Linked DNA regions of Anolis sagrei. The protein of the gene in region 1 interacts with the protein of each later gene in a biochemical or structural test. Links are inferred from orthologs where the notes say so. Each region holds a gene or a part of one and is shown on either strand. Other genes may lie near its edges.

Evidence for each region. The genes of interacting proteins can lie anywhere in the genome.
Region 2: the proteins of AP1G1 (region 1) and SYNRG form a complex in vitro, tested with the Homo sapiens proteins (2 studies listed by BioGRID). The link is inferred for Anolis sagrei from reciprocal best matches to the Homo sapiens genes AP1G1 and SYNRG.

The regions. Positions count from the first base shown.
Region 1 is NC_090028.1:29,558,032-29,565,142, forward strand, and holds the start of AP1G1 (AP-1 complex subunit gamma-1), read left to right. Parts: upstream 1-4,072; 5' UTR 4,073-4,168; intron 4,169-7,111. UniProt on the Homo sapiens protein: Subunit of clathrin-associated adaptor protein complex 1 that plays a role in protein sorting in the late-Golgi/trans-Golgi network (TGN) and/or endosomes.
Region 2 is NC_090031.1:24,068,104-24,075,115, reverse strand, and holds the start of SYNRG (synergin gamma), read left to right. Parts: upstream 1-3,905; 5' UTR 3,906-3,949; coding exon 3,950-4,056; intron 4,057-7,012. UniProt on the Homo sapiens protein: Plays a role in endocytosis and/or membrane trafficking at the trans-Golgi network (TGN). May act by linking the adapter protein complex AP-1 to other proteins. Component of clathrin-coated vesicles.

The DNA of each region.
Region 1 (7,111 bases):
AAAATAAATTTATTATTATTATTACAACAGTCTCGCTTATCCGATGTTCCGTCTCATTCGACACTCTTATCCAATGCCCCCCCCCTTTCCTCCAGCATTTAACCTTCAATTGAAGGAGCGCTCACCAACTCTCTCCATTCCCAATAAGTGAAAAAAGTAAGACGAGGAGGAGGAGGTCCTCTAAATTTCATGCTCCTCTTCCGAATCCGGGCACTTCCTGCTTAGCCGCTCTATCCCTGAGGCATTGCCTTGCCTTAACCCTTTGAATCACCGTTGTTAGTATTCTAGATGTCTAATGGATGGCTAACAGTAGGAGATTCCATTATTATGCAACATTTTTGTTTATCCAACATTCTTCTGGCCTGTTTATGTCGAATAAGCGAGACTCTACTGTATTGTTGAAGTCTTTCATGGCTGGAATCTCTGGGTTGTTGTAGGTTTTTTGGGCTGTATGGCCATGATCTAGAAGCATTCTCTCCTGACGTTTCACCTGCATCTATGGCAGGTATCCTCAGAGGTTGTGAGGTCTGTTGGAAACTAGGGAAATTGGGGTATTATATCTGTGGAAAGGAACATGAAAGGCACTGCAGACTATTTCAACCAGAGAAGTCAGCTATAGCAGAGCACCTAATGAATCAACCTGGACATAGTATATTATTTGAGAACACAGAAATGCTGAGCACTTTAACAACTACCATGTCAAGTTACACAGAGAAGCCACTGAAATCCACAAGCATGTGATCAATTTCAACAGAAAGGAGGAACCATAAAAATGAACAAAATCTGGCTACCAGTATTTAAAAAATCAGGATAGTAAATAAAGAACAAAAATAAAAAAGAAACAATCAGGGACACTAATTGCCTCTCAACAAAGGATTCCCCCAGGCAGTAAGAAGCCAGACCTTGAAAACCACTAGGCCATTAAATGCTAATCAAGGTAGCCAATTGAAACATTAACACCCACTGCACCACTGGGGGCTCCAACTGAGCAGAAATTGGGAGTCCTGCAGCAAGCAGGGACCAGCGGAAGGCAGAAAAATCCCCCTTGGGAAGGCTGCTGAGTCTGAGACTGCTATCCTTTCAAGGGGTCCTGAGGATTCGCAAAATGCCTGGTGAGCTATTAAAGCCAGTAAGATTTTCCCTTTCCCCAAATAATTCTCACCAGGTTGAAGAAAGGCCACCAAAGTTTATTTCTATTCCAGTTGGAAAGGTTGGGGTTTCAATATCACAGATATAGTAAAGGTAAAGGTTTTCTCTTGACAGTAAGTCCAGGCGTGTCCGACTCTGGGGGTTGGTGGCCATCTCCATTTCTAAGTCGAAAGGCTGGCGTTGTCTGTAGACACCTCCAAGGTCATGTGGCTGGCATGACTGCAAGGAGCACCGTTACCTTCCTGCTGTAGTGGTACCTATTGATCACCTCACATTTGCATGTTTTCAAACTGTTAGGTTGGCAGAAGCTGGGGCTGACAGCAGAAGCTGTCGAATCCCCGGATTCGATCCTGCAACCTTTCGGTCAACAAGCTCAGCGCTTTAACCCACTGTGCCACTGGGAGTTCCTTATCTGTGTCACAGATTTAGAAACACACTTTTCCTAGTTTCCAACAGACCCCTCAACCTCTGAGGATTTTTTTTTATCATGTAAGAAGTGACTTGAGAAACTGCAAGTTGCTTCTGGTGTGAGAGAATTGACCATTTACAAGGACATTGCCCAGGGGACACCTGGATGTTTTGATTTTTTTTACCATCCTTGTGGGAGGCTTCTCGCATGAGGAGCTGGAGCTGATAGAGAGAGCTCATCCACGTTCTCTCTGGATTCGAACCTGCGACCTGTGGTTTAACCCACTGCGCCACCGGGGGCTCCTCTGAGGATGGCTGTCATAGATGCAGGCGAAACGTCAGGAGACCCGCCTACCTGCGTGACCGCATCTCCGCTTACAAACCCACACGCTCACTTCGTTCATCCGGAGAGGCCCTGCTCGCGATCCCACCTGCGTCGCAGGCGCGTTTGGTGGGGTCGAGGGACAAGGCCTTCTCTGTGGTTGCCCCCCGACTTTGGAACACCCTCCCCAAAGACATTAGACTTGCACCCACGTTGGCAGTCTTTAGGAAGAACTTGAAGACCTGGCTATTCCGATGTGCCTTTCCAGAATAGGATAACCTCCAGCACCTTGTCCCAGAAGCACTTTACTAGAGTTTAATACTCTCTGCACATTGCACTTGCCCAGAACTCCAACATACCACCTCTCACATCCAGCACCTTTTTTAACCTGAACCCTTCATTGGCCTGGCCCTGATTTTATTGTATAATAGTGTAATGTTTTGTTGTGTTATTGCTTATGTTTTAATTTGCTTGCATCGTTATTGTCTGTTGTTGTTATGTTGAGGCCTTGGCCTTTGTAAGCCGCATCGAGTCCTTCGGGAGATGCTAGCGGGGTACAAATAAAGTTTAATAATAATAATTAATAAAAATGCTTCTGGAACATGGCCATACAGCCAAAAAACCTAGAACAACCCAGAGACTGGACTGTATTATTATAATAACCAAACAACAAACAATCAATAGCGGAGAAAAGTGGGTATGTGCAGATTTGAGGGCGGAAGAGAACTAGAGTAAAGTTATTAGGTTCTTGTGGGGTTTTTCGGGCTATAGGGCCATGTTCTAGACGTTTCGCCTGCATTTATGGCAAGCATCCTCAGAGGTAGTGAGGTCTGTTGGAATTAGGACAAACGCACCAAACACAGCGCCCAAACACAAATCAAGGAACATGAAAGGCACTGCAGACTACTTCAACCAGAGAAGTCAGCCATAGCAGAGCACCTGATGAACCAGCCTGGACACAGCATATTATTTGAGTACACAGAAATGCTGGACCACACCAACAATCACCATGTCAGACTACACAGAGAAGCCATTGAAATCCACAAGCATGTGATCAATTTCAACAGAAAGGGAGACCATGAAAATGAACAAAATCTGGTTACCAGTATTAAAAAAACTCTAAAATTACAACAGCAAAACAGCAGAGAGGAAACAACCAGGCACATCTTAGCACCTCTCAACAAAAGGTTTTCCCAGGCTCAGCCAGGCCTTCAAATGCTAATGAAGGTGGTCAGCTGAAACATTCACACCTAGCCCTAGCAGAGAAGAGCTCTTTGCCCCACCCCAGCCATTCCACAGATATATAAACCCATTTTCCTATTTCCAGAAAAGTGGGTATGTGCAGATTTGAGGGCGGAACAGGACTAGAGTAAAGTTGTTGTTATTATTATTTGGAAGTAAACGAAAACAAATCCCTCAATTTTCTGGGGTTTTTTCCCCTCCCAGACCTCCCCTCTCCTTCTCCCTCTCTCACCCGCCTTCCTCCTCTTCTTGTCCGCCCCCGGAGCCGCCGCCTCCTCCGTCTCCTTCTCCCCCGCTTGGCTCGGCCCCACCGCGGCCAGGCTCCTCCATCCCGCCGCCTCCTCCTCCTCCTCCTCTTGGGCCTGGGCCCGCCCTCGGCCTCTCCTCGGCGCGCCGGAAGTGCCGCGGGCGTGACGTCGCAAGAGCGCGCGGGGTAGAGAAAGAGAGCATAGCCAGGCCTTTAGTGATGACGCGTCGGTGGTTGCCAAGGCGACGGCGGAGGAAGCCGTCCCCGCCCCAATAGGAGCGATGGCGAGGGAGGGAGGGAGCCGAGGAGGGAACCAAAGAACTCCAGCTCCGCCCCTTGACCTGAGAAGAGGCCCCGAGCCCTTCTCCTTGGGACACAAAGCCGTTCTCGGAGGAACTGACGGGCGGAGGGAGAGAGGGAAGGAGGGAGAGGCGCAGCGGTGACTCGGCAAGCGCGTGACGTCATCAGTGCCTGCCACGCACGGCCTCTCACCCTTCACCCCGGATGCCTCCGCGGAGGGAAATAGTCCCTCGGTAATCTGCTGCTAGAGGACGCCTCGCTTATTAGTCAGGGAAGGGGAGGAAGGGAGGCCGCGGCGGGGCTTCTCCGGAAGGGGAACGAGTAAGGAAAGAAGGAAAGACGGGCCAGAGAGAGGTAGAGAGAGAGCCTGAGTGAGATCCGGCACGGTATCCTTCCGCCTGCGGGAGCGGTGCTGAGGCCGCGCCGCCGCCATTTTGGATGCCAGGCTGCTGGTTCTACCGCCGCTGCCGCCGCCGCCTTTGCCGCCGGGACCCGGCCCGGTGAGTGAGCGAGGGAGCCGGGGAGGGAGCCGGGGCCCGGAGGAGGCAGGAAGGGGAGGACCCGCCAGGAAGGAAGGAAGGGAGGGAGGGGAACACTGGGCCCTGCCCGGCCCTGCCTGGCCGGGTCGGAGTTGGGCCTCACCGTCAGGTCCCTTGCTGCAGGGAACTCTTCTCCCCTCCACTGTCTTCCCTCCCTCGCGCCCTCCTGGCTGAGAAGGCCTTCCTCTTGAAGGCAGAAAGCTGTCAAAGCCAATCCTGGTCATTTTTTATATACAAGCCGTCCCCGGGTTGCAAACACCTGACTTACAAACGTGTCCTAGGTCAAACGAAGCTCAGACAACAGGAAGTGGGAGGAACCCACTCCATTATATTAGTTCTATCTGTCATATAGTAGTCCCAGAGTTGCAAATGACTCCTAGTTCAAAACCTGGCTGAGACAACAGGAAGTAAAAGGAATCTTCCCCTCAGAAGGAAGGGAAATCCACTCCCGGAAGAGTCATCATCAGGGGGAAAGACTGGGTGGCCTTTGGGGGTTCCTTCCAAATTTATGATACTAGTTCTATCTGTCATATGGTAGTCCCAGAGTTGCAAACATCCGACTCACGAATGACTCCTAGTTAAAAACCTGGCCGAGACAACAGGAAGTGAGAGGAATCGGAAGGAAGGGAAATCCACTCCCGGAAGAGTCATTGTCAGGGGGAAAGACTGGGTGGTCTTTGGGGGTCCCTTCCAAATTTAGAATACTAGTTCTATCTGTCATATGGTAGTCCCTGAGTTACAAACATCTGACTTAAATGACTCCTGGTTAAAAATCTGGATGAGACAACAGGAAGTGAGAGGAATCGGAAGGAAGGGAAATCCACTCTCGGAAGAGTAATCATCAGGGGGAAAGACTTTGGGAGTCCCTTCCAAATTTATGATACTAGTTCTATCTGTCATATGGTAGTCCTAGAGTTGCAAACATCCGACTTACAAATGACTCCTAGTTAAAAACCTGGCTGAGACAACAAGAAGTGAGAGGAATCTTCCCCTCGGAAGGAAGGGAAATACACTCCCGGAAGAGTCATCATCAGGGGGAAGACTGGGTGGTCTTTGGGGGTCCCTTCCAAATTTATGATACTAGTTCTATCTGTCATATGGTAATCCCTGAGTTACAAACATCTGACTTAAATGACTCCTGGTTAAAAACCTGGCTGAGACAACAGGAAGTGAGAGGAATCGGAAGGGAAATCCACTCTCGGAAGAGTCATCATCAGGGGGAAAGACTGGGTGGTCTTTGGGGGTCCCTTCCAAATTTATGATACTAGTTCTATCTGTCATATGGTAGTCCCTGAGTTGCAAACATCTGACTTACAAATGACTGCTAGTTAAAAACCTGGCTGAGACAACAAGAAGTGAGAGCAATCTTCCCCTCGGAAGGAAGGGAAATCCACTCCCGGAAGAGTTATTGTCAGGGGGAAAGACTGGGTGGTCTCTGGGGGTCCCTTCCAAATTTATGATACTAGTTCTATCTGTCATATGGTAGTCCCTGAGTTACAAACATCTGACTTACAAATGACTCCTAGTTCAAAACAGGGCTGAGACAACAGGAAGTGAGAGGAATCTTCCCCTCGGAAGGAAGGGAAATCCACTCTCGGAAGAGTCATTGTCAGGGGGAAAGACTGGGTGGCCTTTGGGGGCCCCTTCCAAATTTATGATACTAGTTCTATCTGTCATATGGTAATCCCTGAGTTGCAAACATCCGACTTACAAATAACTCCTAGTTAAAAGCCTGGCTGAGACAACAAGAGCAATCTTCCCCTCGGAAAGAAGGGAAATTTACTCTTGGAAGAGTCAGGGGGAAAGACTGGGTGGCCTTTGGGGGTCCCTTCCAAATTTATGGTACTAGTTCTATCTGTCATATGGTAGTCCCTGAGTTACAAACATCCGACTTACAAATGACTCCTCGTTAAAAACGCGACTGAGACAACAAGATGTGAGAGCAATCTTTCCATTGGAAGAAAGGGAAATCCACTCTCGGAAGAGTCATCATCAGGGGGAAATACTGGGTGGTCTTTGGGGATCCCTTCTAAATTTATGATACTAGTTCTATCATAAATCACACACATGCACCTACAGGTAGTCCCTGAGTTTAAAACATCTGACTTACAAATGACTCCTAGTTAAAAACGAGGCTGAGACAACAGGAAGTGAGAGGAATCTTCCTCTCGGAAGGAAGGAAAATCCTCTCCTGGAAGAGTCATCATCAGGGGGAAAGACTGGGTGGTCTTTGGAGGTCCCTTCCAAATTTATGATACTAGTTCTATCTGTCATATGGTAGTCCCTGAGTTACAAACATCTGGCTTACTAATGACTCCTAGTTAAAAAAACCTGGCTGAGACAACAGGAAGTGAGAGGAATCTTCCTCTCGGAAGGAAGGGAAATCCACTCTCGGAAGATTCATCGTCAGGGGGAAAGACTGGGTGGCCTTTAGGGGTCCCTTCCAAATTTATGATACTAGTTCTATCTGTCATATGTGTGTATCACACACATGCACCTACAGGTAGTCCCTGAGTTTAAAACATCTGACTTACAAATGACTCCTAGTTAAAAACGGGGCTGAGACAACAGGAAGTGAGAGGAATCTTCCTCTCGGAAGGAAGGGAAATCCACTCTCGGAAGAGTCATTGTCAGACTGGATGGCCTTTGGTGTCCCTTCCAAAATTGTGATACTGTATCTATCTCCCATGTATATGTGTGTGTGTCAGGCATGGGTAAACTTTGGCCCTCCAGGTGTTTTGGACTTCAACTCCCACAATTCCTAACAGCCACTGTCAGGAATTGTGGGAGTTGAAGTCCAAAACACCCAGAGAGCCAAAGTTTACCCATGTCTGTACACACACACACATACAGGTAGTCCCTGAGTTACAAACATCCATAACACCTGGAGGGCCGAAGTTTGTC
Region 2 (7,012 bases), on another chromosome or scaffold:
ACCATTGTATTACAATTCTAACAGAGCAAAACAAACACACAGATTGAAAAGAAAAAGATTTTGCAAATTTGGTAGTTGGTTAAATGTCCTTTGACCAGTATCTGGCCACTTGGAGTGCCTCTGTGTCCTCCATCGTGCATGTGGCTGGGCTCAGGGTGCATTGCAGCAGGTGGTCAGTGGTTTGTTCTTCTCCGCACTCGCATGTTGTGGATTCCACTTTGTGGCCCCATTTCTGAAGATTGGCTCTGCATCTCGTGGTGCCAGAGCGCAGTCTGTTCAGGGCCTTCCAAGTCGCCCAGTCTTCTGTGTGCCCAGGGGGGAAGTCTATCATCTGGTATCACCCATGGATTGAGGTACTGGGTTTGGGCCTGCCACTTTTGGACTCTTGCTTGCTGGGGTGTTCCAGCGAGTGTCTCTGTAGATCTAAGAAAACTATGTCTTGATTTGAGTCGTTGACGTGCTGGATGATACCCAAACGGGGATGAGCTGGAGATGTCTCTGCCTTGGTCCTTTCACTATTGGCTGCTACTTCCCGGCGGATGTCAGGTGGTGCAATACCGGCTAAGCAGTGTAATTTCTCCTGTGGTGTGGGGCGCAGACACCCCGTGATAATGCGGCATGTCTCATTAAGAGCCACATCTACTGTTTTAGTGTGGTGAGATGTGTTCCACACTGGGCATGCGTACTCAGCAGCAGAGTAGCATAGCGCAAGGGCAGATGTCTTCACTGTGTCTGGTTGTGATCCCCAGGTTGTGCCAGTCAGCTTTCGTATGATGTTGTTTCTAGCGCCCACTTTTTGCTTGATGTTCAGGCAGTGCTTCTTGTAGGTCAGAGCACGGTCCAAAGTGACTCCCAGGTATTTGGGTGTGTTGCAATGCTCCAGTGGGATTCCTTCTCAGGTAATCCTCAGAGCTCGGGATGCTTGTCTGTTCTTAAGGTGAAAGGCGCATGTCTGTGTTTTAGATGGATTAGGGATCAGTTGGTTTTCCCTGTAATAGGCAGTAAGAGCACCTAGAGCTTCGGAGAGCTTCTGTTCTACCATCTCAAAGCTCCCTGCTTGAGCAGTAATGGCACGATCATCAGCATAGATGAAACTCTCTGTCCCTTCTGGCAGTGGCTGGTCATTTGTGTAGATGTTGAACATGGATGGAGCAAGCATGCTCCTCTGAGGCAGGCCGTTCTTCTCTTTCCGCCATCTGCTTCTCTGGCCCTGGGACTCAACAAAAAAGCTCCTGTTTTGTAGCAGGTTTCCTATGAGGCGGGTGAGGTGGTCGTCCTTTGTGATATTATACATTTTTCTCAAGAGGAGGCAATGGTTCACAGTATCATAGGCTGCTGACAGGTCTATGAAGACAGCTCCTGTGATCTGCTGCCTTTCAAAGCCATCTTCTATGTGCTGAGTCAGGTTCAGCACTTGCGATGTGCAGCTTTTGCCTTTTCTGAAGCCATCTTGCTGTGGAATCAGACAGGGGTCTATTTTTTCCGCAATTCTATGCAAAATAAGTCTCTCCAGAACTTTGTAGAGGTGGCACAACAGGGAGATTGGTCTGTAGCTTTTTGGGTCATTACGGTCTTTGCCTGGCTTCAAGATGGCGATGACTCTTGCTTTCCTCCAGATTTTGGGGATCTGACAGGATGCAGTGCAGTTGTTCATCAGCTCCAGCAGCCAGCGCCTTGCTTTTGGACCAAAGTTCTTGATTTGTTCCATCCGTAGATCATCCAGGCCAGCTGCTTTGCCATTCTTACATTTGTTGAGAGCCATGTCCAATTCTGTAGATGTAAAAGGTTCATGAAGGTTGTTGAAGGGGCAGAATATCAAGGAGGTGCAATTCCCTTGGTGGCCAGGTGATGGCAGAAAATGATTGCCCATTGCAGCTGGGGAGTCCTATTGGCTTTAATGAAGAGGCAGAATATCAAGGAGGATGCAATTCCCTCTGTGTATACAAATATGCATATGCACATTTATATATACATATATATGTAGGTGTATACATGTATGCATGTGTACATATACACATATACACACATATATGTAGGTGTATATATGCATATAGAGGTAGGTATATACATATATGCATGTGTACACACACATATATACACATATATGTAGGTATCCCTCGTAGACCGAGGATGACGGTCCTCCAAGTGTAGTATCCTGGCAGTGGGTCCGTAGGTGACTGTGGAGCCCTATTCTTGATCTGCATGTTCTCCCACTGTGAGGGCATCGGTTTCCAGGTGGAAAGCGGTCCCGGTCGGGGTTGGCTTGACGCGCCTTCCTCTTGGCACGTTTCTTTCTTTTGCCCTCAATTCGTGCCTCTTCAAATTCTGCAGCACTGCTGGTCACAGCTGACCTCCAACTGGAGTGCTCAAGGGCCAGGGCTTCCCAGTTCTCAGTGTCTATGCCAGAGTTTTGAAGGTTGGCTTTGAGCCCATCTTTCAATCTCTTTTCCTGTCCTCCAACATTCCGCTTTCCGTTCTTGAGTTCAGAACAGAAGGGATATATGCATATAAATGTAGGTGTATACATGTATGTAGGAACCTCCAGTGGCGCAGTAGGTTAAAGCGCTGAGCTGCTGAGCTTGTTGACCAAAAGGTCGCAGGTTCGAATCCTGGGAGCGGCATGATCTCCCGCTGTTAGCCCCAGCTTCTGCCAACCTAGCAGTTTGAAAACATGCAAATGTGAGTAGATCAATAGGTACCTCTCTGGCCTGGAAGGTAAGGGTGCTCCATGCAGTCATGCCAGCCACATGACCTTTGAGGCGTCTATGGACAACGCCGGCTCTTTGGCTTAGAAATGGAGATGAGCACCAGAGTCCCAGAGTTGGACACCATTGGACTTCATGTCAGGGGAAACCTTCACCTTTACTATACATATATGCATGTGTACATATACACACATATATACACATATATGTAGGTATATATACACATAGATGTAGGTCTATACATGTATGCATGTGTACATATACACAGATATAGGTAGGTGTAAATATATATATATGTAGGTGTATACATATATGCATGTGTACATATACACATATAAACGCACATATATGTAGGTGTCTATATACATATATATGTAGTTGTATACATATATGCATGTGTACATATACACATATATGTAGGTGTCTATATACATATATATGTAGGTGTATACATATATGCATGTGTACATATATACATATATGTAGGTATATATACACATACATGTAGGTCTATACATGTATGCATGTGTATATATACAGAGATATAGGTAGGTGTAAATATATATATATATATATGTGTAGGTGTATACATATATGCACGTGTACATATACACACATATACACATATATGTAGGTGTCTATATACATATATATGCAGGTGTATACATGTATGAATATGTACATGTATACATATATGCATGTGTACATATACACATATACTCAAATTTATGTAGGTGCATACATATATGCATGTGTACACGTACACACATATATGTAGGTATTTATATGTAGACATATACACATACGTAAATATATATGAAAACGCATATATGCAGGTGTGTGTATACGTGCATATACATATGTGCATATGTACATATCGTATCCTATCCGATTTGTCCTCTATCCACTCCTTTGAGCTTCATGCAAATCTACCATTTTTCCAAAATATAAGACCTAAACATACAGAAATGTAGAGATGAGTGAAATTAACCTGAGCGGCTGTCAGGCATTGTGGGAACTGAAGTCCAACACGCCTGCTCTCCAGGCTCTCTGTGGGGCTCTTCCTGGTTGTTCAAACTCCAACTCCCAGAATCCTTTGGCGCGCCGGCGAATGGCGAGGCCTGCCGGGAGCTGAAGTCCAAGGCGCCTGAGAGGCCAGGCTGCTTTCGCCCCGCCCCTTTTCCCCGCTTCCGCTCAGGAGGCGAGGAGGCCGGAAGTGAGCGCGCTGACAGGAGCCGGGCAAGATGGCGCTGCGGCCGGGCCTGGGGGCTGGGCCCGGCGCTCCCTCCGCCGCCTCTCCTCCGGCGCCGGGCGGACCGGGAGGAGGAGGAAGGAGCCCCGGCCCGGGCAGGTCAGCAGGCCCAGGCGGGCAGGAGGGAGGCGGGAAGGGAGAGGCTTTGAAGGGAGGAGGCCTTGAAGGGAGAAGGCATTAGATGGAGAAGGCCTTGAAGGGAAGGGAGAAGGCCTCAACAGGAGAAAGCCTTGGAGGGAGAAGGTCTTGAAGGGAGAAAGCCTTGGAGGGAGAGGCTTTGAAGGGAAGGGAGAAGGCCTCGAAAGAAGAAGGTCTTGGAGAGAAAAGGCCTCGGAAGGAGAAAGTCTTGGAGAAGGCCTTGAAGGGGAGAGGCTTTGGAGGGAGAGGGTCTCAAAGGGAGGAGGCCTCGATGGGAAGGGAGAATAATAATAATAATATCGAACTGCAAAGATTCTGGCACAAACCAGTCAAGGTGGTCCCAGTGGTGACTGTCACACTGAGTGCAGTGCCTAAAGACCTTGGCCTGCACTTAAACACAATCGGCACTGACAAAATTATCATCTCTCCGAACGTATTCTCCCCTACGAACCATCAAGATTATTAAGATCATCTGGAGAGGCCCTGCTCTCGGTCCCACCAGCCTCGCAAGCGCACCTGGTGGGGACGAGGGACAGGGCCTTCTCGGTGGTGGCCCCGCGACTCTGGAACTCTCTCCCTCTGGAGGCCAAAACCGCCCCATCCATCCTAACATTTAGGAAACGGGTGAAGACGTGGCTGTGGAGTCAGGCCTTTGAGGAATGAGACAACACCATAGGACCCTGGATGGAAGCTGATGTAGATCCATCTTAATAGGACGACTGACCACTGTAGTTTTATATATAGTGTTTTTAAAGTTGTTTTTGTAATTGTGATATATGATATTTTAATGAGTGTATATGTTTTTTATGGCTGGAAACCGGGCTGAGTCCCTCAATGAGGTTGAGAAGCTCGGTATAGAAAACTGTGAAATAAATAATAAATAAATCTGCCAGCTGCAGAAGGCTACCTTACTGGGATCTGCACGCATTACTTGCCAATACATCACACAGTCCGACGTGTGATCCAATACAACAGCCAGCAGAGTGTCTGCTGTGGACTCATCTTGTTGTGTTTCAAATAATAATCATAATCATATATATATATATATATTGTCATGTCAGGAGCAACCGTTCCTGTTGTGAGAGAATTGGACGTCTGCAAGGACGTTGCCCAGGGGACGCCTGGATGATTTGTGATACTTTATCATCCTTGTGGGAGGCTTCTCTCATGTCCCCACATGAGGAGCTGGAGCTAACAGAGGGAGCTCATCCGCTTCTCCCCGGATTCGAACCTGCGACCTGTCAGTCTTCAGTCCTGCCAGCACAGTGCTTTAACCCACTGCACCACCGGGGGCTCCTAATAATAAAACTTTATTTATACTCCGCCACCATCTCCCCAACGGGCTAACATGAGGCCAATCCCAAAGAATTACAACAAATCAAAACAAAATACATACAGCAATTAATAACATCAAATGAAATATAAACAAAACAACTTAATACAAAATCAACATTTATTTATTTATTTACCGCATTTATATGCCGCCCTTCTCACCCCAAAGGGGACTTAGAGCGGCTTACAAAATATATTTTCACACAATATATTATATTATTAGTATAGAACAATATCAGTATTATATATTACTATATTGCACTATACTGTTATATTGTATAATACACAAAAATGAAATAAGAAAACAAAAATGAGAAGGCCTCGAAGGGAGAAGGCCTTGGATAACCCAGAGGGTTCTTCTTCCCACTGCTTCTTCTTCATCCTGGAAAGAAGTGACAAGCAGAGTGCCACAAGCAGGGTTCCTTCCTGGGCCCAGTCCTGCTCAGGATCTTCATTCATGACTGAGATCCATGGTTCTCAAACTGTGGGTCTCCAGATGGCTGGGATTTCTGGGAATTGTAGGTCAAAACACCTAGGGACCCACAGGTTGAGAACCACTGACTTAGATGAAGGGTTAGAAGGCAGGATCATCGAGTTTGCAGATGACACCAAATTGGGAGAGATAGCCAATAATCCAGAAGACAGGAGCAGGATTCAAAACTATCTTAACAGATTAGAGAGATGAATGGCCAAAACTAACACAATTAAGTTCAACAGGGACAAATGTAAGATACTCCACTTAGGCAGGAAAGAAAGGAAATGCAGAGATACAGAATGGAGGACGAGGCCTGGCTCGACAGCAGGACCTGTGGAAAAGATCTTGGAGTCCTTGTGAGGAGGAAGGGGAACAGGAGCCAAGAACATGATGCAGTGGCAAAAAAGCCAATGGGATTTTGGTCTGCATCAATAGGAGTCTAGTGCCTTGATCCAGGGATGTCATGCTCCCCATGATCTATTCTGCCTTGGTTAGACCGCACGGGAATACTGTGTCCAATTCTGGGCACCACAATTGAAAGGAGATGTTGACAAGCTGGAATGTGTCCAGAGGAAAGCGACTAAAAGGACCAAGGGTCTGGAGAACAAGCCTTATGAGGAGCGGCTTAAAGAGCTGGGCATATTTAGCCTGCAGAAGAGAAAACTGAGAGGAGACGTGATAGCCATGTATAAATAAGTGAGAGGAAGTCATAGGGAGGAGGGAGCAAGCTTATTTTCTGCTGCCCTGGGGATTAGGATACAATGGCTTCAAACTACAAGAAAGTAGATTCCATCTGAACATGAGGAAGAACTTCCTGATTGTGAGAGCCGTTCAGCAGTGGAACTCTCTGCCCCGGAGTGTGGTGGAGGCTCCTTCTTTGGAGGATTTTAAACAGAGGCTGGGTGGCCATCTGTCAGGGATGCTTTGAATGCAATTTTCCTGCTTCTTGGCAGAATGGGGTTGGACTGGATGGCCCATGAGGTCTCTTCCAACTCTAGGATTCTATTATTCTAAGGCCTTGAAGGGAGAAGACCTTGAAGGGAAGGGAGAAGGCCTTTTCTTTAACTTTGGCTATAATTAATAAGAATGGTTTTCCTCCCCTCTTCCTTT